3 linked regions of the Lepisosteus oculatus genome follow. The protein of the gene in region 2 interacts with the protein of the main gene of each other region in a pairwise test. Links are inferred from orthologs where the notes say so. Each region holds a gene or a part of one and is shown on either strand. Other genes may lie near its edges. The genes, in order: plod3, efhc2 and cope.

Region 1 (9,543 bases), on a different chromosome or scaffold from region 2:
CATGTTGTACTTCTCCTGCAAGAACAGCACCGCAGTGACTGCCAACTCCTCCACAGCGCGCACACACACACTCATGTCCGTCAAACCCTCGTGACTGGGCATGGTCTGACACCGGGAAGAAAGAGCTTTCCGAGAACAGAATCGGACAAAAGCCGACGACTAGGCCTCCTTCAAAGCTTGTCTGCAAAAGCAACAATAGTCTACCATGAATGCTGCAGACCTTCCATCTGCCTGCTGCAGAAGGATCAGGAGCCCAAGCACAGGCGGAGGTCAGCCCAATTATAGCCCACAACAATCCCCAGTGAATAAAGGACGCTCTGTTTGTTACAGTTCGTGCCGATTCTGTTGAGAGGTGGTCCTGGGCTGTGTACTGATGCTGCGTCAGATGTGTGCTGTGCAAACTCCAAACTCACTGCACCCTCCCGACTTGGTGCTGTGTGCCCCCACTATCCTCAACTGACCCGCTGCGCCTTGTCCAGGTAGATCCTGGTGTAGAAGAGCTGGTCGTCATCATTGTCTTTGTATTTCCACTGCTGGATAATGCCGTTGAGCTGCGGGGCGTAGCCAATGAAGCCTGGGACAGAAAGGGAGACACGCATACGGACATAAGAAACATAACACTTTGTTCAGAGCTATTCTGCATCAGCAGGCTCAAGCTGACTGCTTTTCTCCACTGGACAATGCACTCACTCACCGGTTAATTGCGCGAGAGATTTTTCCAGCTCCCGATTATAAAATGACCCTTTGTAGAGTTCAGAATCGACAATTTTGTCCCGTTTAAAAATTCCCTTCCGCCTCCCACAAAAATTGTGCACAATCCTGGACCATTTTACTATACTACAACAGACTGTTGCGGCACATAGTTCTACACTCGCCTGTACTATATTGTCTCACACTGCACTTGTCTGTTCTGTGCCACCTGCTCCACCAGGCACGGTCTCTTACCCCCAGAGTTCAGGTAGCGCTTGCCAGTGTAGACAGGAGGGTATTTGGAAGCCAGTTTCTGATCTGGCCAGCAGAAGCCTTCAGCAGAGAATACCACCTTGTGATTCATTCTGCCGAACTTCCACAGCAGCTCCTGGGGCCCGCTGGCGAAGATCACGTCATAGCTGCAGGAGAGAGAGAGAGAAGAGTCAGGGCCGCCCTCCTCTCTCCTCGCTGGGGCACGCCGAGGCTCATGGGTACTCTGGAACTTCCCCTGGAACTTAGGGGATCTTCCCACGCTGGGGTGCCTGTGCACACTGGGGCCCTGCGGACACTGGATGAAGTGCCTGGACTCTGGCCAGCCTGGCTGGTGATGCGTGGGTGGCCAGCAGAATTGACCGTCTCCCTGCAGGAGGGAGACAGCAGCGCTATCGGTTGTCGGACTGTCGTGCCCGAGTGGGCGCATGTGATCTGTCCTGCACGCACACGCGGGACAGCACACCTCCCAGCGCTGTGAGAACACGCTCAAGCAGGCAGACTTCCACAGCAGGCAACTAATCGATCCTTTATTTCATTATTAGTTCCGTTTTCCTTTCCAACTTCCCTTACCCTTCACTCAGGGCCCTGTCGTTAGCTGAGCTGCTGTGCGTTAGCTACCCCATAGTTTCTGTCCCAGATTGTTGGCTTCCTTGTTTCAGTGCTTTCCCTGTTCCTTGCCATAAGCGCACTGCAGGCTTTATTTTTCATCTCTTTCTTTTCCCCTTTGTCTTTGACGTGGCGTTTCCCACCTCAGCGCTGCCTGGGACCTGCTCGTGAGCTCTCGGCCACACCTCGGCGCCTCATTACACTGACAAAACGCCTTTTCACCCGAAGTGGGGCAGCTGTTGTCTGGGCAGGTAGGACCGGTGTCAGGTTCGGTTACCAGAGCCGCAGACGGGAACAGAGAAAGAGGAGAACGAGCATGTGGACAGGGAGGGGAAGAAACTGGACATTCCAGGAGAAAGAGAGACGGAGAGAGACACATTCGGCATGGCCTGACCTGTCCACAAACATGACGACCAGCTCCGGTCTGTCGGCGTATTTCTGGATCTCCTTCTTCAGCCAGCGTACCTTCTGTCCCCCCCCGACCGTCCGCAACACGTCTCCCCCCCGCCACTCCTCCCCCAGCCCCAGCACCTACGGGTGAGACAGAGCAGAGGGGGAAGGTTAACCACCAAGAGCAGGACGGCGAGACACGAGCTAGAACCGATCACAGTCCCAGACCCCATCCCTAGAGAGGCAGACCACCCCGTCTGAACGCAACACTGGCTTTCCCTCCCGTCTGCGTCGGCTTAGGGCGCCGACACCCGTTCAGTCCATCGCCCCTTGACCCAGCCTGGGGAACAAACTGCCCTCCACCCCTCTACCCCCGTCTTCAAGGGACGGGCTGGGCAGCGCAGGGCCTCACCTTGACGGTGTAGTTAAACTGCCTGCTCGTCCGCATGAAGCGCTTGAACCCGTCCGTCTCCTGGGTGGCCGCTGTGATCACCAGCAGGTTCTCTAGAGGACACAGATCACAGTGCAGCCGATGTTAAGCATGTAGTACGATGCACTTATACACTGCATTCTAATGTACATACTGTTATAGTATACAAATCACATAATACACGGCATCCAAAAGGCACATGTACAATGAGGTGATTGAACCAGAACACCACAGGCTGACTGAATACTCAATCTCCTTCTCCAGCTCTCTGGAAGGACGTCCCCCTCCCTGCGAGTCAACACTCCCAGCCCCACCCCCGTGGGCATGGGGGGATGGCAGGCAAGACTGAGCAAGACCAACCCAAACTCGCCACTGTACCAGAGTCCAGGTGCCGAGATCTCAGGTAGGAGCCACACGGATTTACCCAAACCGGTCAGCGTACGCAATTCTGACATCCTCACGTGCTGTTCCCCACAGTTTGCACGAAGATTCACCACAAATATCCCCCGAGCTCCGGCTCCGCGGCTCCAGAACCGGGCCAAGGAAACGGCACGGACAAAACCCGGCGGTCAGGCTCGGACTCATTTTCATTGTGCAAATCCAGGCCCCACCATCGCACCGATCGAGCAAGGACAGGCCCCCGGTTGAGAAGGTTTCAGAGTGACGAAAGTTGAATATTTTGTTAGAATGTGTACTTATCGTGAGAAGTTCTGGGTGAAATCAACTTTATTCCGATAGGAAAAAACTTTAAGAATGTGGGGTGTCAGCCAGGTTAAGGCTGTATATTGGAGTATAAAACTTGCTACACTGTCTCCAACTCCATCTACCTTTCAGTGGGTATTATTTTGGTAAAAAGCACTTTATCGGTCCTCACAATGGGTCAAATTCTTTTTCATTTACAGATGAAAGAGGCCAGCAGCCCCAGGGAGAGAGCCCTTATTTCTGCTTTTTAAATTTTTCCTCCCCACAGTAACGGTCAGAAAGCGGGAACCACGGTCCATATCGCTCAGTTCTCATGGGAAAACCCGGAGATGAACCCAGCTGGGGGCTGGGGAGAGCGCCTTTGTAAGGGAGAGATCTTAGAAATCCCGATTCTGATTTTTGGTTCTAAACCACTGCGGCTGTGTGCGTTGTCTGCTTGGTCTCGGTCAAAGGATTTAAAAAAAAATTCTTAAAAAAGTGTCATCTCTCTCATACGTGACTGTGTCCCCGCGCTGCGAGCCCGCGGGTGGGTGGGGGAGCCGTGGGGTCGCACCAGTGAATCAATCGCCGCTTTGTACTGCACCCTTAGGCTGACACCGCAGTGCTTTTCACTCCCTCCGGCGAGCCGACCTGTTAATGAAACCGCTCACGACATTTGCCTGCGCCCCTGCGTTGATGTGTCGAATCCGCCGTTAAGACGTTTTCAAAATTTCTCCAACCCGTCTGGGAAAACAGCCGATCGATTCGATGTCCGTCTTCACTGCTGCGTAGGAACTTGGGATCATAGGTTTTAGTGCTCCCCTCCGCCCAGTTTCCCCAAACAGTTCACTGCTTGTATAAAGCGGTTTGTTTTTCTTTTCAGAGACCAATTACTTTCCAGTGATTGGATAGGAAGAAGATAGCGCTGTGCGGTCGGATCAATCAATTAATCAATCAGTCTTATTGGAGGAATTAGCCGTTTGTTAATGGCACTGAGCTTCTCGGGACCAAGAATCCAGACAGCCCGAGATCCGACCTTATTTTCTCAGATATTGAGAACTCTGGGCGAAAAGCGTACCATGGTGAAATACAACCGAAGTTAACAGCCTTAGCAATACGTACATTTCACAAAAAGAGTCATCTCTTTACCAGAGAATCACCTTTTCTAGCTAGCTTACTGTAAAACGCAGACAGTGCAGTCATACAAGGCGTGAAATAACACAGCTGTAGTGGCCTTGTGTTTTAAAGTTTACACGGCATTAGCGGAGCGGACTGAGATGCCAGTATGCGGGTGCAATTTATAGCGTACTCTTGTGACGGTGCGCTAAACTGTTCATTCCGAGATCACGCTGCTACCTGGAGGGATCGCCTGCGTGTCCGCCGACGCGACATGGTCCGAGATCCCGAGGCAGATCGCACAGATGAGGAAAGCAGAAGTCAGCTCCATTGCGCTGTCAGTCCCTTGCCTTCCCTAATTTTGTCTCGTCTTCCCTAACCCTGTTCTCTCTGGCTCCAGCACACGTCCCCCACTCACTCTCCCTTTAACCCGACGCCCGCAAAGTCTCGCGAAAACTGGCCCGAGCCTAAAAAATGCACCTAAATCCCGACACACGAGACCCGCTCCGGCCCCCTCGGACGAGCCAGCCAATGAGCTGCGCCCGGCCGGTGATTGATGTGCCCGCCACCCAGTCGTAAGAGAGGACCGGAGGAGGGGGGGCGGGGCGACAAGGGGGGGTAGGACAAACTTTCCTTTTATAAAATATGTTTCGGCTGCCTGAATGGAAAGTTCTTGAATAGCGGAGGAGGGTGTCCGAGTTACCTCCCCCGTGCGAGGAAGGGAGTCGGAAGATGAGTGTTGCCACGTCTCAGGAATTGGAACTGGAACTGGGGGGCTAGATTTGGTGGGGAGGGGGGTCCGGGTCCCAGGTCTATTGACGGGATATGCAGAACGACTTCTTCGGACTTGTAATTCACTTTCAATGGGAAACGCCGCAGTTCCCGTTAAGCGTCCGCAGTGATAGTGCTCATTATCTTCATCATCTGCCCCGGTTTTTAATGACCCGTATTTCCACGCTGCCCAGTATTCCTGAATTAGCCCCTGGATTGAAAAGCCTGCCTCTCAGTGTGGAGACACCATGTAACTGACTTGTTGATTTGGAAAGACGGGACCCATCACTGTTACCGGGTGTCCACGTTGTCCTCTAGTTCGTGTGTATATCACGGCCCACGTCACGGATATAGTATTTTTCCGTTGTCCAGTTCTTTTTTGTACTGGCACAACGGCACGCGCTTCTACTGCGATCTGTTATACCTGCTTTTGCTTACACTGTCCTGTATACGATGGCATTGCTCTCGTATCAGTAGCTAATGTAAAATGTAATTAATAATAAAGTAATAATGCGAACAATAAGAAGTATAGCAATAACAACACTAAATATCACGTTACATTAAAGGCACGTTAGAATACCAGATGGGATCCGGAACCGAAATGACGGATCAATTCAACAGAAAAAGCCCCGCTTCTCCAAGCCTGTTTTATCGCTTTTGAATATCGTGATTATTAAGAAGATGAAGTTTATTTTCGTGCGGTGCTCCAGGCTGGCCCAGGCGGCTCGCGCGCCCGCTCTGCTGACCTTTAAATGACCTAACTGGAGCCTTGATTGAAGCGACAACTTGCTTGATTGCAGGTTGTTAGTTGTTGTTGTTGTTGTTGTTGTTGTTGTTGTTGTTGTTGTTGTCCTAGAAACCCCGGGGTTTCGTATTTTGACCTGCGAAACACCATAGACGATAAAAGGCAAGTTTCAAGGCGGATGAAGCGCCGAAGACAGTCGGACGGTTCAGATGCATCCTGTAACTGGGCCAGTGAAGGGTTCAGCCGGGCGACTCAGAGCCGGCCGGGAACTCAAACCAGACGTGCGGGCCTCCGGCACAGCGATAAGGACCCCTGTCCCCAGGGAGGGTCCTTCTCTTGTGATGGTCTGTTGCTCCTAGGAGCATAAGAAACACTGCAGATGAGAGGAAGGGGTGGCCAGTCTACAGGAGCTTGTTGATTGATCCAAGGATCTGCTCCTTCTGCCATCTCATGAGAGAAGACAGGGTTTCGGTTCGGACCGTGTCTGATCCACTTGTTCCTCAAACGTATGAGTACAGAAAAGCCTCCTGTTTGTTTGTTTTTATCAGTTTTCACTGCACTTCGTGTGGATGTTCCCCACTAAACCGCGAGCGTGTGCGCGCGTACACAGGTTATGAAATCAGCGCACATAGGAAATTGAACTGCGCACAAAAAATTAACCCCCCCCCCCCCAAACAAAAATGATAATAATAAAACAAACACGGTCGTCAATTGAAAAATGCGAAATTGACCACATGAGACTGGCTGCGAGAGGCTCAACTTGGCTGTGTGCGTTATTATTATTATTACTACTCGATAATCGGTATCTCTGCTCTCGTAGTCTCGAACCCACTGCTCATGCTCGCTCGACACCCGGTCTCTATGACCGGGCTCGTGGAATCGCCGTCCCAATCTTTTGGATCTCTATGCTTATATTTGGATGACTATATTAACAAAAAATAATTTCAGGTTTACAGTTTTACATAAGCTCAGTTTAGTGCGCACAAGGTTTTGTCACTGGTGAAAAAATTTGCACAGCTTGAAATGTTTGCGCACACCGGCCGTAAAAAATGAGTAGGAACGTCGTTCGTCTTTCTCTGTTGCTTCTGCCAGCGGAGGGCTGGAGAACGATTACGTGGATGAAATGCAGAGAACACTCACATGTGAAAGGTCAGTAATTGTGGCTGTTCCCAGGAATCCCAACTTCCTCCCAGCTGGGAGGTGGGTGGGAAGCCGGGATGATTTATGGTTAACTCCTTCAGCCCCACCGTTAGGAGAGCAGAGCTCACACAGGGAGCACAGCACCTAGAGGAGGGGTGGGAATAAAGACCCACTGACCCCGGGTTTGTCAGCTCCAGTCCTGCCTGGGCAAAGCCACTTCATGGAGTCTGGAGCCAAAGTATGTAAGATCAGATCACTTTATCGGCCCTATACAATTTCTTGCATTAGGAATTTGTCTTTTCACAGACCCCAGCTTGCTCTCCATGAGACACACAGACAGGGAGAGAGCTGTCTCTCTCTGGGCGTCAGAGAGAGAGCTGGGCGTCAGAGAGCTGGGTCAGCCATTTATACGGGGCCCCTGGAGCAGTTGGGGTGAAGGGCCTCGCCCAGGGGCCCAGCAGAGTAGGATTCCTCTGCCGGCCGCAGGATTTGAACCGGCAACCTTCCAGCCACAGGCACAGATCCTGAGCCACAGTCCAACCGCTCCGCCCCATGACCAGTCATGTCAGATGACAACAGCCAAGTTCAATCAGCCTCGTCAGTCAGTAATTTGTCATCATTCCTGATGTCATTTCCTCACCTTAAAACAATAAGCACTATGGGTCAGCCCCTTCTCTCCCTTGCACACGTCCTTTGCACCCCTCCTCCAGCTCTGCAGCTGCCCCTTGGTCACCCCTCAGTACACATGGGGGTCCCAGCCTCCTCGTCCTGCGGCCAGGACGTTGGCCCTCAGCCCTTAAGCCAAACCCACTGAGAGTAAAACACTCTGTAAATTTGTCACCACATTTAGTTCTGGGGTGTTGCTATTCCTAGTGCACATGGGATTGTGATTCAATTTTTTGTGCGCTCGCCCAAAAATCAGGAACCCCCCCAAACAAACATGGAGGGGCTTCTCTGAGCTGTACATGTACTGTATATCACAAGGCTGGGAATTACAGTATGTGCTACCCAGTCCCGCCCTATTGATTAATAATAATAATAATAATAATAATAATAATAATTCCTGACACTTATACAGCGCTCTTCTGGACACTCCACTCGGAGCACTTTACAGGTAATGGGGATCCCCTCCACCACCAGTGTGCAGCCCCACCTGAATGATGCAACAGTTGCCATAGTGCGCCAGAACGCTCACCACACACCAGCTCTCAGTGGGGAGGAGAGCAGAGTGATGAAGCCAGTTCAGAGATGGGGATTATTAGGAGGCCATCATTGGAAAAGGCCAGGGGGAAATTTGGCCAGGACACCGGGGTTACACCTCTTCTCTTTTCAAGAAACGCCCTGGGATTTTTAATGACCACAGAGAGTGAGGACCTTGGTTTTATTACTCATCCGAAGGACAACACCTATTTACAGTATAGTGTTCCCATCACTAGACTGGGGCATTAGGACCCACACAGACTACAGGGTGAGCGCCCCCAACTGTCCCCACTAACACCTCTCCCAGCAGCAACCTCAGCTTTCCCAGAAGGTCTCCCATCCAGGTACTGACCAGGCCCACACCTGCTGAGCTCCAGTGGGCTGCCAGCTGTGAACGGTGATATAGTTGTATAGATTAAGCAGGATTGCCTTTAGTGAATTTTTGTCATGAAAGCGAGCATGATCTTTGATTGAACTGCACGTTCTACTAGTTCTATTTTTACCATGTCTTTTTATAGGATTGAGATCTGGGGATTTCTCTGGCCAGGGTGACTGCATCCTTCTTCTCCAGCAAACCTTACAGTGCCTGCCTCTGTGAGAGCTTATCCCTCGGACTCTTCCGAAATGAACTTCTGAGGAAGGAAACTGAGCACCAGACACAGATGGTGTAAATGTCTCCTGTATATTTTTCCAATGTGGATATGTAGGGAGGCAGAAAAGCACAGCGTAGTTCAGTATGATTTTAAAACACGTTTTTTATGAACAGCCATCTGGTGAGCAAGCAGAGAGACACTGTGTTCTCTCATTACTCAGCATAAAATGCACAAGTGCATAGAGTGCATTTTATAAGCCATAAATGTTGCAAGTTGGATAAGGATACAACATACTGTAAATTTACACACAGAATGTAAAAGGGTTAAACATGGTACAATTATAAACACCAGCACAGAATTGAAATTCTTCTTTCCAGTTCTTGGACAGTGTTGCATACTCTTTTAGTCAGGTAAACAAAGATTCCTTAGACAGGCAGCTCTTTCTTTAACATGAAGAAAGCTAGGTACATCCCAAAACCTACAAAGACATACAGAACGAACCCTACAAACAGCTGTCACACCTGACTGTCTCTCATCTGGGTTCATTGTCAGACATTAATGTTCTTGTGGCTGGCAAGTCTGCTTCTGCCCTTATGAAGTAGGCAGCATTCCAAGACATGAAGACACAGAAGCTGGTTGCAACTCCACTGAAGCTCTTTCAGAGCTCATCCCCAGAAAACAAGACCAAACACACAAAACCTGCATACAGCTGGCCCGCTTTGGGATCCAGATTGAATGAATATATGAGCTCCTGATCCACTACTGCCACAAGACTGGATAACATGGGGAAGAGCAGATTAAAGCCTGTGAGAGGAGTAAAGAGCTTTTCCTTAATTAAACTTGGGGGGTGGCTCCCAAAAATGCATTTCGCCTGTGTGCTTTTGCAGTTGAACCCTGGTCCTGTTTGC
Region 2 (10,081 bases):
CAGGGCTGAAATGTGAGTTTTCCTGCCCCCCCCCTTCCCCATAATCAGCACAGGTGTGCAAGGGGGCTCCCAATTTGCTTGTTCAGATATCAGGCAGCAGCAGCGTTACGGGCTTGTAGCTTGATCTCGTCGGATCGCAGAAGCGGAGCAAGGCTGCACCTGGTCAGTACTGGGATGGGAGATCTCTTAGGAAAAACCAGGTTGCTGCTGTAAGTTTAGCTCATAGACCAGCTGTTCTCTCTGGACAGTTTGGTGACCTGGGCCACTGCTACCGTGTAGGAGGTACCATTCCACTAGACTCTTGCAGGTCATGTAATATCTCAATGTCATTGATTATGTGGCTTGGAAGATGGCATTACTTAAGGTGCTTAACAATTAAGGCCTAGAACTGCTGGTCCAGGCATATGTTGTGCAGGATAGCTGGGTATTTTCAGTCATCTTTAATGAGTGCAACATAAGTTAACAACAGTTAATCAGACCTGTATCTTTCTGTGCATTCTGGGCCTGTTAGCCAGAGGATTACTCCCTGCGTGGTTCTTGAAAGCAGAGCTGACTCCGGCACCTAAAATCAGGGCTGTTTCAGCAGAGCGTCATTCAAGGGCAGAAAAATGCAGTATTTGGTTAAGTAAGTATTGTAAGTATAATCAAGAAAAAACATTAAAATTGCACTGGCCATACTGTAAAAGGGTGGCTTTGAACAGTAAGGGATAATGTTGTACCACCCTGGACACTCCAGGGCAACAGCAGAAAACCCTGAGGCACGGGTTGATGCCTTTCTCTTTATCTTAATTTATTCTTTAAAACCCCAGCCCTGACAACTGTTTCCCTTGGGCAGGTGCGCAGGGTACCTGTTCCAGAGGGTTGGGAAGATTGCAGCAACTGCGGTTGGCGGCGGCTTCCTTTTACTACAGGTACAGAACGAATCGTGCTGACATCTGCGACGTCCAGAAACGCAAGCCTGACAAACGGAATGGGGCCACCGGGGCGTTGAAGTGTCCTTGCATGCTTGGCACAGCACTGACTTCTCAGGAGATAGGTGTGCTTCCGCCCCGGTTCACTGATTGGCTGGGAGCGTGTCAGTGCTGGCACTCTCTGTGTTTCATGTCGGTTGGCCCATTGCTTCGGCTGTTAAGAGGAATACTAAAAAATAAAGTGCAGAAATATCAGACCCTGGGAGGAGAAGGAGGTACAATGCATGTGTTAAAATGGTGTAATCACAGGTTGGTTAAATGTAATTATACCACATCCAAATGGCTTTCAGATACCAATGTAATAGATCAGCATCTAGTTGTGTAAAAGATTCTTGCTAAAAAAGTTTGATCTGGGAGCCAAAAAAAGAGGTGATGCTTCAGTTCACTCTGTCAAGTTCTAAATGTGCAATGGCTCTGGTTTCTCATGAATGCTTGTAGCATTGTCTAAAATGGGAAACTAAGGGGTTGGCTTTTTTCTTCCGTATTTGAAGATGCCTGAACTGATTTGTAATCAATACACTGATGATGATATTGCCAAAATCAAACATTATGGGTTTGTTTACATTTAAATCGCTGTCAGATTGCTGCTCTTCGCAAACTTTTTCTCCTGAAATGTGGGAACGATGATTTTGTTGCTCCTTTCCAGATTGCAAATCACAGCGGATACGTGCAGGTCGACTGGAAGAAGGTAGAAAAAGACGTCAACAAAGCTAAAAAGCATCTTAAAAAGAAGGCGAACAAAGCCGCCCCTGAAATCAATAGCTTCATTGAAGAGGTGAGACTTCCAACCCATAACGACGCAATTTCTGTTGCTGTCAGAGGGTGCTGCTATATTTAAATACCCTCCTCCCCCTTAGCACGGTGGTATTATCCTGTTTTCCCATGGTGCTTCCAAACCCAGTGCTGTAAGAAATATCACACTTCCGCAGGGCCATCTGCCTCAGACCTCGCATGGCACTGAAGGTGCTACCATATATGGAATGTGTTCGTATTCTCTCCAGTTCAAGCTCAGTCCTGTCTTGCAGTTCCATCATCTCCGCGTGAAGGCTTCTCACTTGAACACAGCTCTGTGCACTTGACTGCAGGATCATTCGGGTTCAGGATCACTGGTGGAAATCCACAGTGCTACCTTTGAAATTGTTGTATTTCTTTTGTAGTAACACTGGCTTTAAGAATGAATTCAGTGCAGTTGTTAGATCATATATTCTTTTGTAATGTAATGTTAAGCAACAGCTTTTGCTGTGGAAGTGGAAGTGCCTGAAGTTAAATGTGATCCAAGATCCAGTGGAAGCCACGAACTGAAAGTGGAATAGATAAGAATTGCTATAATCCATATCAAAGAGTCAATGATGAGGAACTGTGGTTTCAATTCAATAAAATTAAAAATACCTGTTTTCTTGTGCAAATCAAGAGGCATTACTTGTACATTAATTAGTTGTTCTTCTGTGAAACTGTGACGCCTGCCTGGTAAATCCCGTTCTGAAGATGGATTGCTGTACATTTCAAGCTAGGACATGGTTAATTTGCACACAAAAAAAGTTTAAGGATTAAGTAGAAATAAATTGTATTTGTTAAATTCAGATCAGCATCTGGTTGTGTAAAAGATTCTTGCTAAAAAAGTTTGATCTGGGAGCCAAAAAAAGAGGTGATGCTTTGTGTGGATTTTTATTTGGTGAAGCCTTCCAAATTTAAATTTGGAATCTTCCCCGAGTAGTTATCAGCTCAGCTCATATCGTGGCGGGGTGGCGCGGTGGCTCTGTGGCTGAGGATCTGCGCCTGCACTGGCCGCAGGTTCGTATCCAGAGGAATCCTACTCCGACGGGCCCCCGAGCAAGGCCCTTAACCCCAACTGCTCCAGGGCCACCATATAAAAGGCTGACCCTGTGCTCTGACCCCAAGCTTCTCTCCCCGTCTGTGTGTCTCATTGAGAGCAAGTTGGGATATGAGAAATGACAAACTCCTAATACAAAAAATTGTATATGGCCAATAAAGTGATCTTATATCCTCACCCCTTGTTCCATACTGGGAGAGAGGAGATCAATGCATGTACTCCTCAGCCCCGCCCACCTGTCAGAGCACACTTGCAGTCCTCAGCCCCGCCCACCTGTCAGAGCCACACCTGCAGTTTTGCTCCTTAGCCCCGCCCACCTGTCAGCATCTCCCACACTATGTGCCCCATAGGTCACTGGCAGGTCTTGTGGAGGAAATGCTGGACACACAGTCCTGGTGTGGTTCAAGGAGCTGCCACCACCTGGGGGAATGTAGGCACTGCTGGCCAATAACATGGCTCAGTTTCAGCCACCCAAGACCCAACAGATATCATCTCCTGACAGTGCTTTTGTTAATGCAGTAGTGTTTTAAGGCTAATGCTTATTAATCTTTTTGGAGAATAATGTTTTGATACAATCGAAGAGTTGTATCCTATCCAGGGTGTGCCCTGCCTTCCACCTGTCAATCTCTGCGATAGGCAATCGGTGGTTAAAAAAAGGATGGATGGATACAATTGAACAAATGCAAATTAAATGATTTTTGAGCCTGTAATAATGGAGGGAGGCACTTGAAACTGAACGAAACTTAATTTTTTTTAAGAAGTCATTTTGTAGATCCTTAGAAAAATGTGAAAGCACAGCTGGAATAGCTAAACACTGGGTATTAAAGGTGATAATATTTCAGGCATTAGCGCCCCCTATTGGAAGAAGTGACCTTCCTTTGGTTATTCCGTTAGGAATAGTTTCTTAGACAATTTTTAACACTTGTGACATTATTATCACAAAGCACTGTTGCGTTTTTGTCTGCTTGAATGTGCAGTGTGTGCATGCTCTGATGCTCATATTGTTCCTTTCTCTGTTTTCCTTTGTGTTCTAATACATTGGTGTACAAAGACGTTCATCTGTCACATTCAAGACCTCAGTGGCCCTAACCCAGTCACTGGAATCTCGGGTCCTCTCCCTTCTTATTGTGACCAAGAATAGTAAAATATAAGTTACAATTATAAAAAAAGATGATAAAATATAATCTTTGCTCTTCCTCTTCTGTTTTGCAGTCTACGGAGTTTGTTAAGAAAAACATAGTGCTTTCCAGTGGATTTGTGGGCGGGTTCCTGCTGGGACTGGCATCTTAAAGCCAGTTTGGAGAGATGACCTGAGATCCAGAATAATAATAACTGTGAAGTATTTCCTCTGACTGGGCTGGTATAAGAGAAGGCGCACAAGCAGAGCAAAGCCATGGCATGCTGCAGTTCTCTCCTTCCCTTTACTGAGTCTCTAGAGCCATTCGAAGCTGGGCTTCTTAAACACAATACAATTAAGACTGTACGGGATATAGGCTTTGCTTTACGTGTTTCATTGCATTCTGAACTGTTTTGCCGCGCCATTGATGAGTAATCTGTTTTGTTAAAGGATTATTTTAATTTTACTGGACAAGAAACATGACTACGCAAGGTATATGACCAAGTGCTGAATATATTCCTTAATATTAAGGGTCACGTTGAGTTACAATTGAATTATTTTGCCTCTGTTTAACAATGAACGTTACAATGTGTATTAGAAGGAGTGGGATAATATATTTATTGCTGTACTGCCATAACATAAATGAGAAAATAAACTTTTTTTTTTGGTTTGGTGTCTTTTTTTACTTTTTACTTAAAGATGAACGGATTGACAAATACTACTTTCATCTTTCATTTTTCAATTACATTACGTGGTTATATAATTGTGTGTCTTTTTTAGTTCAGCCTTAACTGCAAATGTACAGCAGCTACCTCCAGAGAGTTGAAAGGAGCCTAAGACAGGTCAGCTGTACTCACCTCATCTTTGTGGTGGAAGGTAGACATTAGCAGGAGGTTTCACTAGGGTGTAAGTGTCCCGTACAGCACCAGGCACAAAACAAAATGAATGTATTCTGTAGTTTTGGCTTTGTACCATCACGCAGGACCTGAGGAATAAGCAGCAGGCTGATATTCTCCTCTTGTTAGTTTTAGTGAGGCTAGATGCTGCAGATTTTTAAAAACAAATTAGGCTGGCCTTGCTCATTAATTACGGTCCTTACATTTTCAGTAGGCCGGATGGAATTTAGATCCCGAATTAGAAGTGATACAATGGAGAGTGTTAGCAGGAGTGATCGAGGGATTCTCCAACCTTTAAAATGAAGGCAACGTGGCGATCTGGAAGATTATTGTGGAATCGGTTTGTCGTTTGCGCAGTGTTGAATACTAATATATCTTGGATGCAGCATATGCCTCCCAACCTATAGCTGGCGAAAGGTATAGAATAATTTGACTTCCGGAGCAAAATCAAACGTGGAACGCTATTTTTTATAAGACTCAGTTATTACAGTGAATAGACTTCTTTTTGATATTTTGTATTTTCTCTGAATAAAGACGTTTCCACGGTCTTGGAGATAAACGTCAACGTGGTGTACATCATTAATATCATTATGACGATTATGACTTTGATTTCCCTTTCCCGACAAGTGTCGTTTTCGTATTTATAAAAAAAAAACATACGTTTAATAGTAATTGGCATGTCATTCGGATAAAGCTACACGGAAAGAAATGGGTTGTGTTTTTGTTTAAAGAATCTTCGTGCTGCTGAAGATGGGTGGAGGGGGGCATGGGGTGGCGTAAAAATATGAATTCAGGCTGTAGAATAGTTAAATGTCATGTAATCCGCACAAGGACTCGGTCGTTCGAAAAATGACGAGCAATCGGCGACACACTTGCGTGTCTTCAAGACCTGCGCAGATCGTGACGTTTAGGAAGGTTTCCTAGCTACCCGCCGCAAAACGACGCACTCTCCTTAGCAACGGAAAAGTTATCAGTGTTTGGCGAGCTGTGGGATATAAGCAATCGCTCGGCCCATCATGTCGCTCCCGGGATATTCTCCCAACAAAAACGTAAGTTTTCTGCCAGTGCTGTTTCTGTTTAGTCCCGTATCAATTCTATAATAAGTGGTGAGGCGTCTGTACAAACTTTACCTAGCTAAGGGCTAGGTGCAGAAAGGGTACCAGTTACTCAAACGCTGCATTATTTAAGGTCTGTGCAGAACTTTAAAAAGAACACAGACTTAAATGAAATCCATATGATGTGTTTTAGTATTCCTGGTGGCGCTTTAGGTTGCGTTGAACACAGTTACCAACTTCGAGCAGTGCTTCTGTCAAGGGAAAACGCAGGGAAAGACTGTTGCTCAGCCATAAGAGAAAAACTCAGGACGGTTTCTGACCTCAAGCCTTGCTGGGTTTGTTGTTGAACGCTAATCTACAGTACAGCAAATCAAATACTCTGTTGAAAGTAGGTCCAAACAATATGTGTCACATCGGAGGTGTTCACATCCTCCGCACATCTTGAGCCGTGTTATTGCACTACATAGACGAACACAACACCCACTTTTTTAAACAGAAGAAAGGTGGCCAACGACAGGCCATTCGACCTGTATAGCACCTTTGGCTTCTAGTATCTCAGAGATACGTGGATCTTACTGAGCCATTTCTAGAAAGAAGCCAGGGTATCGCCTTCAATGACTGTGTTGTTTGTTCCCTGCTCCCACATCCCTTTTGTAAAGAAGTGCCTCCTGTTTTCAGTTTTAAATGTGCTTCCGCATAGTTTCCACGTGCGTCCTCGGATTTGTTTTAATGTTCATGTTGTCAGTACCTTTGAAGGAATTTTGCATACTCGTATCAGGTCTCTTCATAATCTTCTCTGTTCAAGTAGTTCGAGTAGGCAGCTGCGTCAGCATGCGTAGGCAGCAAAGGAACAGGTAAAGGTTTATTCCACGCCGAAAAGAGAAGAAAAGAAGCACAACATTTCGGCTGTGGAGCCTTCTTCCGGCAAAGAGTAAACCTTTAATTGTTTCTCTGTTCGAGGCTCGAAAGGTTGAGATCCTTCACCCTGTCCGTGTAGGACATCCTCTTAAACCCAGAGTGCCTGATTCTGGATCAGCAGTATCTATCTTTTCTAAAACATGGTGACCAAAATTGCACATCATATTATAAATGAGGTCTTCTACATTTTTAACATAGTATCCCCCAATTTTACTGTTTAATTAATGCACAGGAGTGTAATAACAGTAGCTGTGTGTATATTACTGATTGGTTTCACTGAGTAGAAGATCATTCTCTATATAACAACATATTGTTGCTTTAAGGGAATTTGCATCAAACTCTGAATCTGTTTTCCCTTTCCTGTCAAGCACCACTACATTGAAACGAATTCCATATGTTACTCTGTTTCTGAGAAGATAACACTATCCATTTTTTTTAATGTTATTGGTTGTAATGTAATATTTTGCTGAACTCTTATGTTATACAGAAAAAGGAGTACTTCAGACATGTTTAGCCTTTTTAAGTGGAAGGATGGCTGCTGTGAAAATTGGCCCTGGTGTGAGTGTGTGTCTGTGTGTGTCCCAGCTATCCTGCTCTGCCCCCACTGCTTGCTAGGATAGGCTCCGACTCCCTCATGACTCCGACAGTAAAAAATATTGGAAAATACAATATTCGGTGGAAAATACAGAGTCTCACATAATTCCGAGTCTTTTATGGGCCTTAGGGTGCTGTTTTTAAAATGTGCGACAGTCCCTCTTTAAAAGTCCTTTGGTCTGCACATTTTGATCTTCCAGCTGGGAAAGGAGAAATTTCACAAGTCCCAGCATTTTGATTTTTCCAACGGGGTTCGGCTGGCGGTCGGTGAAGAGAAGCCTGGTATCGGGGGCGAACCACTCCCGGGCCAGAAGATCCGCCCCAAGTACTCCATGTTCCCCCAAGGAGAGGGCAGCGATACTCCCTCATGGGTTGCCTTTGACAAACAGGTACTGCACCTTTCCCAGTAGTCTCTGTTATTGTTATCCAGTGACATAAAGTAACCTTGTGTGACATATCACAGGTATCTGTAACTAATTACTAATTACTAATTAACTAACAATGAGGTTACGGATACATCAAAACCTAATGTAAAACACAGCTATAACTCTCTGCAGCTCACAGCTGGCAGCCCACTGAATCTCAGTTGGAGTGAGGCTGTTCAGTACCTGGATGGGAGACCTCCTGGGAAAAACCGAGGTTGCTGTTCGGAAGAGGTGTTAGTGGGGCCAGCAGGGGGCGCTCACCCTGCGGTCTGTGTGGGTCCTAATGCCCCAGTATAGTAAAGGGGACACTATACTGTAAAAGGTGCCGGTCTTTGGATGAGATGTAAAACCGAGGTCCTGACGCTCTGTGGTCATTATAATCCCCGGGTGTTTCTCGAAAAGAATAGGGGTGTAACCCCAGTGTCCTGTACTCCTCCCTACTAATAGCTGATGTGTGGTGAGTGTACTGCCACACTTTGGATGCCATTACATCATCCAGGTGGGGCTACATATTGGTGGTGATGGAGGGGACACCCCATTACCTGTTAAGCACTTTGACTGGAGTGTCCAGAAAGCACTATGTAAATGAAAGGAATTATTAATACTGTACAGTATAGTGCAGTACAAGACCTACAAAAAAACTGTTATTGTACATTGAATTGATTGATGCCTTTTCCCAAGACAGGTTACAGTAAAAATTCTGCAACTCATTTTAAATAACATTTAATAAGGGTAAAAAGAGAATAAAATCTACAATTTTCATAATGTAGTGGACATGCTATGCGAGACAAATTTAGCATAATAGAAACCCAATAAATGCAAAATGAAATGGGATTTGAGCAGTGTATCATGCTGAGGGGAAGGATAATCGAAGATCACGATCTAATTCCAACCTGAAAAAATGGATCTATGGAGAACCAACCTGACTGTAAACATAGGTTGAATTGTGGAAAAAGAGCTAGTTCCAGGGAGCCTCTGGTCTCTAAAAGAGCAATCGAGACAGTTTGTCACAGCTTGGAAACACCTGCCTGAGGTTTTTAAGAAGTCAGTGGGCTGAGGCTTTTTGACTGACTAACAAGCTGGTGAGGAGAAGGAATAACTAGGAATGACTGAGCGGGGCCATTTTGGAGAAAAGATGATTATCAATGGAGGAGGAATTCACATCAGGATCACCCTAGTGAAAACACAAACATGGACACAAGAACTAATAATTGCGATGTCTTTCCAAAAAAAGCCTAGTGTCAAGGCCTGCAAACACGCCCCCATCCACCTGGTCCTTTGCAACAGGATCAATATTCTTTCAGAGCGCGAAATTCCACGGTAATTTCAGCAGGGCTTTTGAAGTGCAAATTAATTTTATTTTTCTAAAAGCAAATTTAATTGCCAAACCGTGTTCCTATTCCTTGTTTGTATTAATTCCTGCAATGTCTCATTTTGTCTTAACCATTTCCATTCGTTTGACCATTTTAAAGTTTGTTTTTAAAAGTGGATGAGCACAACAAGAAATTAGAATAATATTTAGGCCTTTAACTGATGTTATTTAATTGAGGTGTGAAATTGGTTGAGTTCCACGGATCTGATCGGTTAAAATTACAGAGAAATTAACTTTTTTTTTTTAATTGACCATGGATTTCTGTAGGTGCTTTGCTTTGAAGCACACTTCAAAGAACCAGTTCATGAAAGCAGAGTCGAGCAGCTCCGAATCAGGAAGTGCAAGATTTACTTTTTCCTGGAGGATGGAACTATACAAGTGGTGGAGCCCGAGAAACAAAACAGTGGGATTCCACAAGGTAACAATTTCCAAAGGAATTCAAAGATTACCAGACACCCCATGGTAAGGAAAACACATCTCCAATGTGCCATGTATACTGTTTCCAAAAGGTATTCAACACAGTGGTTGCTTTTATAGATTATAATTTGCGAACTGTGGTTTGTGTGTCACCTGGGGTGTGAAAACTAATTTATAATTATTTCTGCGGTGACTTTCATTATGATTTCTGTGAGTATTACATCAGGCTTCCAGGATATGTAACAAACATACGCCCTTCAACTCTTTCTGAAGTAGTGGGAGCCTAGAACAGTGCTGTAATGAAAGGACGTTCTGAATTTGACATCAGACCACAGCTGATTAATGACAAGGTCCGCAGAACCTTAATTGCACTGGAAATGATACTTTAGACTATACACAAAGAGGAGTGTAGTTTTCTAGCAATTAAAATGCAAGATGAACTTTTGTTACAAGATATGCATTTCACTGTTTCCCTTTTCTTAAAA
Region 3 (10,341 bases), on a different chromosome or scaffold from region 2:
AAATGACAAGATTTCTCTTTGACACTCTCTATTTACTTCTAGCCTAAGTTAAAAAAAATCACCTTTAAGAAGACAAAGCCAAAATAAACCATTAACTTTTTAAAAACCAGTGCCTATGAAACGTAAGAATTTAAAAGACATTCAGGCCATTCCGGTTGCTTAAGTTTTTGTTAGCTAACTACTAGGAGAATTCTGTCGGGACATTTCTTGTAAAAAGTCAGGTTTATCAGCTGCAACAACATGACTGGACAGGATTCTCCAGTTTTCGACACTATCTGCGCACAGATGGGCTTCCTGTTACTCATTTTGCATCAAAAAGTACTAACACACACACCACAAAAATGTATCACACAAAATCTCAACAGTACCCAAGAAGCACACAACATTAGAAACCAAGCTATTGTTTAACATTCTTGTAACAGGGGCATGGCGCCATCTATGGTACAATAAGGTGAACTACAACAGCAATGCCCCCAACAGATCTTTGACCCGCGGCTGTGAGTTATTGGTTTGAGAAAAATCAGCCTAATCCCAGAGGCGCTTGATCCTTATGGTCTATGGTTCGAACTTGGATCACAACCGTAGCCGACCGATAAGGCCCTCTTGCAGTCCAAACAGTGACTCCTAGGACTTGTTGGGCGCCTGTAAGACTGCAGCAAAGGCAGGGGGGATGCTCTACTCCCTCACTCACAGTTAACTCTCCTGTAAGACACTGTGAAGCAGCAGTGTGCCTCAAGGCACAAGGGTTTGACAGGTGAGTGCGTTTGTGTGCCTTTGTATACCTGGGGCAGCAGTGGAAGCCAGGTCTTGGCAAGTGCATAAAAAAAAATCAATGATTTCTAAGAAAAAAAAACAAAATGCTGTAGCAAAGCACTCTTCAACCCTGTCAGAAAAAATGGCATTGGGTTATCAAGACCTGAATGTGGATCACTAGGCCCTTCCTTCCTCTGCATTCTTACTGTACCTTATCAAGAGCCTCTTGCAACACGCCTTCGGCTTCATCCCACTTGTTCTGTGCCATGTGACAGACGGCCTGGCCATTCAGGAGCAGCAGAGTGGCGGAGTACTTGTCCGACATCTCCTGGAAGATGTAGTAGGCATCCTGGAGCTTCTCTCCTCCCTGTTGGCAAAGAGACCTCAAAGAACTCCGACCTCCCTCTGAGCCCACACAGCTAAACAGTACAACCAGTATTCCTGAGGATGCATGGATGGGCATTCACGAGGAACGGCAATTTGAGGACTCCTCCAAAATGTCTCGACAGCGGCACTTCACTCATAGGCTACGTTTTTCACAGGACTTTTATTATTTCGGAACGATAAATATGGTTCGAAAAGGAAGTTCGGGAGGGTCCCCCCTCATCTCTACTACTCTAACGCATCGCTCTCCATGACATCACTTCCTGAAAAAACTATAAATATCCCAGCAAGCCTCTCTCTTGCTCGCATTTATCCTTCGGCGTCATCCTACACCCCTCCTCTCCATCTGTCCCTGTCCCCTGTCTGTTTGGGGGTCGTGACCTCCTTGTTCCTTGCTGACCCTCAGCTAGGCAGATAAAGCCAAAGCTTTTTGCTAGACTCCTCAAATATTGCTAAACCTGTTTTCTTCGTAGGCGTTTGTCATTCCTTGAGAATATCCCAGAAGGAGAGGTCTTTCTGCATCTGAAGCAAAATCCATCCTATGGTGCTCCAGACAAGTCTGAGGTGCTCAAACCCTGGTCTGAGGAGGCAGCTACTCACGATGGCCAGATTGACCCAGGCGGTGGCCAGCTGAGTCAGGGTGGCGTCTTCATCCTGCTCCTGCATCTTTTTCAGCTCCTTCCTGTGGAGACACCCAGCAGTCGATGAACAAGTCTACGCACCGAACACAGTGCCAAATAGACTAGAACGTCTGAATTAATAACTGGAGCATTTCCAACATATCTGATTTCCCTAAAACTGTAGAATTTACCAGCAGGTTTTCTTTACAAAATACATTTAAAAAACTGCACACATAACACCTGCAAAAGAACTACTGACAAACATGTTCTCAAGGTTGGAAGGATGACTAAACCTGCACTCTAAACCAATATAGATTACAAAATAAATTATTTTTGAAATTCACGGCATGCAAATCCTACTACACACAGAAATTACACTGTAATGTTCACTCTCTGGCCTTTCAGTTTTGGCCAAAGATTAAAACATTCCCCCCTACCACACTTACCTGGCTAAATCCAACCTGTCCAGCTTCAGCAGCACCTGAATTGTCATCGCCATGCTATAACGAGATTAATCAACAACAAGATATTTAAAAAAAAAGCCATGTTAGCACATTCTGGGATAGGTGAAAGGTAATAAGTGTACAGGGCATATAGACATCACTGCTGCAAATTCACCCATTAAAGTCTGAACATTATGTTCATTTAATCACGGCCTCTGACATGAGGGTACAGGCTTTCTGAATATGTGGAAAAGCCAAGAGACAGGAACTAAAGCAGTTAAAAACTCTAGGATTATCTCACAACTGATTTCCCTGCAACTTCTTAAAAACATTCTACGTTTTCAAAAAGCAAGGAAGGCAACGGGCATATTCCAGAACATGCTTTTAAAGGCAGACACATTTGAAATCAAATCAATTTAAAGAAGAATCAGACTTCTGAAGTGGCCGCAGACGGCAGATTTTGGATTCTTTTGCACTTTGGTGCCGATCAGAAACATTTTCAAATACCCTGCAGGCAATGGAGGCGAGAGGCTGCTCTGCTTCATCCCCGAGCTGATTTCTAAGCCCCCTGTCCTCCTCCCTCAAGAAGAAGGGAGACAGAGGCGGACACTGCCGGGCTCAGAGAGTCTTACCACTCCAGGCTGTCTCCCTGGTGCAGGGTGCGCAGGGCCGCGTCCGTGTTTATCTCGTGGAAGTAAAGGGAGGCGGCCATGAGCAGGAAGGTTGTGTTGGCTACATCGACACTCTTCGCCATCTTCTTATCGAGCTCCGCCACAATGGCATCCCTGAACCGAAGGCAGAGATTCTTCAAGCAGTTAAAATAACCATTTTCACACTCTCTCTCTCTCTTATGGAAAAAACATCTAGCATGGTCAAACGCACAGACTCGAAATAATCCACAAACATAGCAACAGAGGATGACACCTCTGAGCAAAACATGCAGCACAATAACAGCTTGATCATTAATGAATTTAAGGGCATTTATATGCAGAAAAGATTCTGTCTTGGATTTTTCTTCCAAAATGTCTCTTATGCAACACAGAACTCACATGCATTCCCTCCATCTAGCAAGGACAGACAATCTCATTTACAAGACATGCAGTTAGCTCTGGTTTCCATTCATTGTCCCTTCATTTTGATGTTTTTCAGTTTGATTAGGTATTGTTTATCTTTTACGGACCCAAACCTGACCTTTTGGCCTCGTTAGAGAGGTATTCCGCAAACATTCTGACTGCCTGGAGCTCTGGTGAAGAGCTGGGTTTGACATCATCCAACACCACACCATACTTCCTCTGAAAATCAAAGAGCACGAGGAATTATCACGACCAGTCCAGCGAAGCAAGAGCATCAACCCTTCAAGCTCCAGATCCAGCAGTAAATCAACCCAGGCCAACACCTGCACACAAACTGATACAATACAAATCCTGGAGATGTGTGAACGTTGAGCAAACAGACCTTTTAAATATTTGTGGTTTTATTAAGGTACAAGAATTTCCATACATAAAATAATAACTTAATTACTGTTCCCCTGAATATACTCTCTGTTCCCACCCTCATGAAAGGATTTATCATTATCAATTAATCAGACATTTAGTAAAGTTCAAACAGACTTTGAATATTATAGCCTGGTTTCTGCTATGGTAAAAAAAACATATGGCAAAAAAGTCCCTTTTTTTTGGCCAAGAGACAATGGACAAGTCACAGCAGAGCAGGTGAAAACAGAGAGAGACTCTGCACAGGCATGGAAATGAAGGAGCAGTACCTACCTGAGCTATGTACGCTCTGTACAAAAACACATCTCTCTCAACCTCTTTCTCCGGACTTGACGGCTGAAAGGGAAGGGAGGGGAGAATCACTTTTTAACAACTTATTTCACTTACAAATGTGAGTTAAATTCAGGGAATTGGTTCAATGTCACTGTTTGATATTCCTTTATAAAGATTTAACCTCGAGTCCCTGTCAGCCACTTGAAGGACACGTCCGTGAATCCGGAAAGGTACTGAAACGCTTCAAAAACTAAACCTCTGATGTACTTCTGTGAAACGTTTACATAACAGATACAGCTTTAAACACAGATCCGCAGTTGTGTCCCAAACTCCTCTGTATTTCATTACAACGGCTCGATTTGTCCAACATTATACAAGAGATGCACTATAAATACTGTCAGTAAGAAATCACGATCACACACAAAAAAAAAACGGATCTGGATTCTCCTTGACGACTGTTTCACTCGTACTCAAATATAATCTTTGTTTTTACAACTGTATCAAAGTAGTAAAAACATCGAAGTATGATGTGTTTATATTATGTGCTCTCGGTTCGTTCTCTTCACTATAATAACAGCTTACTGAATCAACAGTGCAATGTTTAAAAAACAGTCCACAATAACGTTTCCAGATACTCCTTACCTTCGCTTTTTGCGCCTCGTTAATGCATTGCTGATAACTACCGATATAATACGCATTTTTTACATCAAAAAGCTCATCAACTTCTCCCTGTTGAGACGCCATGTTGACCGAACCGAGCAGCTTCCTGGACACGTTGGCCAGCCACGTCATCTCCCGAGCTGGCGTTTCCCCGCCCCCTGAGGGTTATGGGAGATGTAGTTTGAAAGTGGCAATTTTTCAATTAGAGATGTTTGAGTAGTGAGCTGCGTCAATGTGCGATGGCTGTAAAAGCAGCAATGCAGAGGACGCTTCCAAGCTGAAAAACAGAAAACGTTTCTGGTGTTCCGCTACTTTAGATTTGGCTCAACAACCAAAACGTTGTGTTTCTCCTTTTCTATTTTTTTGTGAGCGGTGCAATTGTCTGCCTCCTCATCAACAATGACGTAAAGCCTTATATATATTCTTGTTTCTTGTATAATAAAAGCTACTTAAATAGTTTCATATTTTTATTGCTAAAGGACTGTACCGCGTAGCGATATTTGCCTTACAGCAAAGACCTTCCTTATACTGTATTCGCCGTTTGAAATAAGAATAAGAAACTGTATTAATATAGCACCTGTCACTTGTCTCATTATCTCTAACACTTTACATATAGGAGGAGGATTGACAGCATCCACTGCTGAGGTGCTGCCCCCTCCTGGTGACTAGGGGCATCCATTCTGCAGCCTCCATGCACAGGACCTTAACCAAGGAAGCAAAGGGGGAACTCTAGGGAGGCCACGTTTTACAAGCCCAGAGCCCTCGGATTATTGCCCCAGCCGAAGGACGGCGTCTCCTACAGCACAGTGTCCACGGCCGCCATGCCTGGGCAGACAATGGCCTGGAAATTGTGAACCAGGGATCAGAGCGCCACCTACTGGCCGATCAACAAAGCTAACAGCAGTTGCCTCATTTTCCTTAGAGCAGGGGAGTCCGTCCAGTTTTACAGGTAGTCTTTAATCATTCGTTTCTAAAGTCGTGGATCCATTTACCTGTGGTCAGTTAATCAAGGGGTGTGTTCGACTGAGTAATGTAGCGATGACGTTGAACTAAAATGAGAGCAGCCTTCAACCCTAGTGGCCAGCGAAACATTACTCGCTGAATTGTTCTGTTACTTAAAAACGTCTTCCTAGTTTTTCATCGTTTTCAGCACCATGTGCTTTAGGGTGACCTACAATCTAAGATTCGTGCGGCACTCTCAGCAACGAGGGGTCAAAAGTCTCTCATCGCAGTACTAACTCGTCCCAACCTTGCTTGGCTTTCGAAAGCCACTTTAACTTAAAAGTTTACGTCGCAATCGAAAAAAAGCAAAACAACTATCTCTATATTTGCGGACAATGCGAGCAGTACGTTTAAATAATCCAAAAAACAACAATTTTCTAAACTCTTCTTCCAACCCAGCGTCGCGGGGAGCATATCCAGGTGGCTTATCCAAATCTGTCTCCCCTGGAAAACTGTATTCCCCACTCGGCCATGCGCATGCGCTCCGCAAAATAAGCGGCTCCCGCGTGCGTTTGTGTCTTTGCGATTTCAAAATCGGGAATAAAAAGGGAGCCTCTCTGTTCGTGTGCGCTGAAATCCGCTATTTATCCCGAAAGAGTGCACACACACACACACACGGTATGCGTCCTTTGCCCTTGTGAGTTCCATATAAATCATTTCACCTGCGGAGGAAGCAAAAAACAAAAACCTGTGTTCTTGAGGTAGCGGTGCGGTACAGATTTCCAGGGGGAAAGTGACTTGGATACGACCCCTTCGAGTAACAGGCAAGATGCACCCTGGACGAGACGCCAGGGCAAACAGACACGAACACACACACACACACTCAGGGCCAGTAAACCCACTGTACCAGCATGCTTTTGGACTGTGGGAGGAAACCCACGCGCACACTGGGAAGAACATGAAAGACTGGATATAGTGCGGGGAAAAAAAAATCGCTCTTGACATATCGCGTTATTTCCCATTCACATCTTCTCATGTCTTTTGCAATTATAGGCCAAGGAAAGGAAACCCAGCACTACGGATATAAAGTACATCAATCGCGATATAGGTTAGAATGTAATTTCTTTTTAATCAGAATAGAAATCCCCGATCATGTACTGTTTGCTAATGTTTAACACAGGAAAACGTACAATGCCGAGCGTTTCCTTCCCCCTGCGTTAATATGACAAAGCAAATGTGCTGTGTGTCTGGATACAATGGGGCACGGCATTTAATTACAATATATATTTATTTACAATGCGTGTCTAGTTCGGAAATTGTCTTAAATACAGGAATTCCTCTAACAGGCCTCCATTCATGCGACGGAAAGCTGTAACAATACTGTCCAGATAGCATCCGTCTGTTAATATAAGGGACCATGTCTGGTCCGCTCTGGGGCTGATTGGGAAACCCCACCGTGAAGCTTTCCGTCTGAGCTCATAGAAACACACTATATCAACAAACAATGGGCACCTATAGCTGTACGTGTTTCCGAAGAAATGACAGTTCATCTCTGCCACTTGGTCAAACCGAGATAATTAAAGGTTCAGGTCATGAGAAAATGTGTACAGCAAATCAGAGGCCGACTTCGACAGCAGGGCTGTGTATCTTGTTCCAGACTCCTACAACCCTTTGTGTACAGAAATACCTCCTGTTCTCAGTTTTAAAGGAGCTTGCATTTAGTACCCACATTTTGTGCCGGAAAACTGGCTTTTAATTTAGTCTTGATGTATATGCTAATAGTAATAATAATATTCATGTTGCATTTTGAAGCACAGTGGTTAGGACTGCTGCCTCACAGCTCTGCAGCCCTGGGGTCAGTTCCTGACCTGGAGTGCGCCTTGCGCCCGTTGCTTGCCGGGATAATCTCCGGTTTCCCACCAACCCTGATCTAAAAGAGGCGTATTAGAAAATGGATGTTACGTTTTGTGGATATCTTGATATCGTCAGTAGTAGTAGTAGCATCTGGACTGCGATCTCTGCACCGTCAGGAAATGACATCATTTTATTTAAGACGAATAAGGACGTTATTAGTTTGGATTTCAGTTTTATCTTTTTTTAATTAAAAAACGTGAATGCGTGCAGCTGCAGCTCTGTTTGTTTATATTATAACAAATAAATCCCTCTCAGTTCCCTCCCATTGTTCTGCTAATGCCATTTCCTTTGGGAAACTGAGCCACGGAGCTGGGACCCGATTTGTGGATAATTACTGGAAACGGGGCTGGGGGCAGGGAAGGAATGGGGCGGGCACATTACGTTCCGTGCCTTATCCGATTGGGCAGATTACAGCAGGTCCTGTGCTGTCATTGGTCATCCACGTTGTCAATCAAGCGGCCGAAACTCCAGCCTCCCAAGTCTCCCAAGTTTGAAACTTTGTAAGGAGTCAAGTTTCAACCCCCCCATCTGTAACTGATCCCAGAGAGAAAAAAAACTTCTTCAATTATTTACAAGCTATTAACTGACACAGACCATACCGTCTAACGCAAGACGCGGATAAGCAGGGAATTAATTACCCGATTTCGACAAGTTAAGACTCCGACATTGCGAGGCGAAGAGAGAGAGAAAAAAGACCATTGTCTGATTTGGCCATAATGAAGGTCCGGGATTTTGCTGCGATGAAGATTTGAAAAAGCAACTCTTGAGTAAAGTTTACAAAACGGACGGAGAGGCGCTTCTTGTGCGTTTACGCGCTGTATCCGGTGTGCATTGAAGAAAGGAAGGTAAGACGTTGTTAATTTCAAATCTTAACCTATATTCGTGATAGATCGCATTGAAAACATGCCAAAGAACGCTTATAGGTAAGTTCTACATTTATTTCTTGCGCGCAGAGCACGGTTTTATTAATTATGGGGGGCGTTGCCATTAGGAGAGAGCATTTTAAATAAAAAAAAGTGTAGTAACGGTAGAATTAAAACGTTTAATCAGAGTTGACTTCCCCTCCTGGCTCCGCACGAGGTGCCGTTTCTTTGCCAGGTCTATAAACGTTTGAACTTCTTCACCGAACTTGGTGGTGGTCGTGTGTGCGATGTTCCCCGAGAGCTTGACAGCTGTCAGTGTCGGCTTGCTAGTCGAGATAAACAGAAGTAGCATGTCTGCTTTCTCTCACATGCGCTGCCTTTGTTTGGGGGGGTCAAATGAATTTAAAAACGAGCGAGCGCTCTCCTGTCTCCCCACCCAGCAGATCGGTTAAAAAACGGAGATGAACTTTGGCCTCGCATTGACTCGGCGGCAGGGATGGCCGTCCTCAGCTGTGTGTGTGTGTTTCCACATACATGGGTTTGCATGAGAAAGCCTGAAGAGGAACTCTGCACAGTTGCATTAGTGTGAACGGAGATCGATTATCAGTATTTAATTTGTGCGTATGACGAAACGCAGCTTGTTTGGAGGGGAAACAAGCTGTATAGTTTTAGCGGCACTGGCGCGCGTGAAATATATCCTGTTTGATTTGTTGAGTCATAAAAACATCCTTAAGGAAGCACGATAAATCTTCGCCGTGCAATGTCTGGATCTGCTTGCCCTTCCGAACTGCACTTGAAGACAGATACCTAAAGCTGTATCTTCTTACGGTATGTTGGTAAAATAGGTCAAAGGAAGGGACATTGTTGTTGTTTTTTTTCCAAGACTTTGAAATGTTAATGTACCATTTGGTTTTGGTTTGGGGTACATCGTCGCCTCTGCGCTTCGTGGTTCCGTAAACGCTTTGAGAAACAGCTCACTTATTGCCTGGTCAGTTGCAAAAAGGCACCAAGAAACGATGAATACGTCACTTCGTTATCAGCTCTTTGCTGTGGGCTTCAAGTTAACCCCACCGGATGTCGATGTTAGGACTGCGTTTTCTAAATGAATGCGTCTTTCATTAGATTTTTCTCTCTCGCCTGCAGTGCATTTAATCAAAACAATACTATACACTAAAGAACATTTATTGGAAGCTTACAGTTCTAAATCTGTTTGCATAAATACGCTACATTCCTTTAGTTCTTTAGTGGGACTTTGTGGATCAATTCATAATAGTATAATCCCTTGTTAGATAATGACAGTCAAACAATAAATAATCCACAGACGCTTAATTGTGTTTTGCTGGGATGAATGCAAGAAAACACAGCGCCTAACATCTTAGTGATAAAGTGTGTGAACGTTCAGATTCCGAGAGCGGCAGCGAGGAAGCTCATCCGGGCGGAGCAGCTTCCGCGGTTGCCTAGGTAACCCGCAGATGCATCGCTGCCTTGGCAACGCCGGTCCCGGCTATGCGGGGACGTGAAATTTAGGAGAGGTGTGACTACCGAGGACCATGTGTTCTTCAACAGAACAGGATGACTAAAAAGCAAACACACCTGCCAGGTTTTACAGAGAAACGCTAGATCTGTATGTCAATAAACCTTAATTACAGGGATATAACCCAGAAGTAAATGCTTTCCTAAATACAACAGCTAAAGCATGTTGTTACACAAAAGATTACGTCTTTCCTTTGGAACCCAATAACACTATATTAAGTGAAACCTTTAGAAGTGTTGGTATTCCTTGTCAATGTAGATGAATTGTATTTGTTGCGCCGCGGCTGTACACTAGGGGGAGAAATTGCTATGTAGTTACCCGACATTGTACTGTATTGTACTGCGACTGTCGCCCCAGCTGGGTTATCGAGAATGCAAACGTCATTAAAACTAGATTATATAATATTACAAACGCCCTGAGAAAATAAGCAGTTACTGGAAAACATCCTTGCCTGCGTTAGCC

Evidence for each region.
Region 1: the proteins of efhc2 (region 2) and plod3 interact in binary tests that used the Homo sapiens proteins (3 or more experiments, as listed by UniProt). The link is inferred for Lepisosteus oculatus from reciprocal best matches to the Homo sapiens genes EFHC2 and PLOD3.
Region 3: the proteins of efhc2 (region 2) and cope interact in binary tests that used the Homo sapiens proteins (3 or more experiments, as listed by UniProt). The two-hybrid records come from large-scale screens. The link is inferred for Lepisosteus oculatus from reciprocal best matches to the Homo sapiens genes EFHC2 and COPE.

What each region holds. Positions count from the first base shown.
Region 1 is NC_090698.1:6,904,574-6,914,116, reverse strand, and holds the start of plod3 (multifunctional procollagen lysine hydroxylase and glycosyltransferase LH3), read right to left. Parts: upstream 4,690-9,543; 5' UTR 4,518-4,689; coding exon 4,427-4,517; intron 3,042-4,426; exon of another isoform or gene 2,867-3,041; intron 2,793-2,866; exon of another isoform or gene 2,626-2,792; intron 2,464-2,625; coding exon 2,372-2,463; intron 2,101-2,371; coding exon 1,964-2,100; intron 1,110-1,963; coding exon 946-1,109; intron 575-945; coding exon 462-574; intron 16-461; coding exon 1-15. UniProt on the Homo sapiens protein: Multifunctional enzyme that catalyzes a series of essential post-translational modifications on Lys residues in procollagen. Plays a redundant role in catalyzing the formation of hydroxylysine residues in -Xaa-Lys-Gly- sequences in collagens.
Region 2 is NC_090710.1:3,618,307-3,628,387, forward strand, and holds the start of efhc2 (EF-hand domain-containing family member C2), read left to right. Parts: upstream 1-5,504; 5' UTR 5,505-5,831; coding exon 5,832-5,864; intron 5,865-7,582; coding exon 7,583-7,771; intron 7,772-9,446; coding exon 9,447-9,597; intron 9,598-10,081. Other genes in the region: fundc1 (FUN14 domain-containing protein 1), read left to right, coding at 836-911, 1,618-1,746, 4,015-4,092. UniProt on the Homo sapiens protein: Microtubule inner protein (MIP) part of the dynein-decorated doublet microtubules (DMTs) in cilia axoneme, which is required for motile cilia beating.
Region 3 is NC_090724.1:5,804,789-5,815,129, reverse strand, and holds the start of cope (coatomer subunit epsilon), read right to left. Parts: upstream 4,774-10,341; 5' UTR 4,759-4,773; coding exon 4,609-4,758; intron 4,030-4,608; coding exon 3,967-4,029; intron 3,493-3,966; coding exon 3,392-3,492; intron 2,986-3,391; coding exon 2,833-2,985; intron 2,258-2,832; coding exon 2,204-2,257; intron 1,820-2,203; coding exon 1,738-1,819; intron 1,121-1,737; coding exon 965-1,120; intron 1-964. UniProt on the Homo sapiens protein: The coatomer is a cytosolic protein complex that binds to dilysine motifs and reversibly associates with Golgi non-clathrin-coated vesicles, which further mediate biosynthetic protein transport from the ER, via the Golgi up to the trans Golgi network.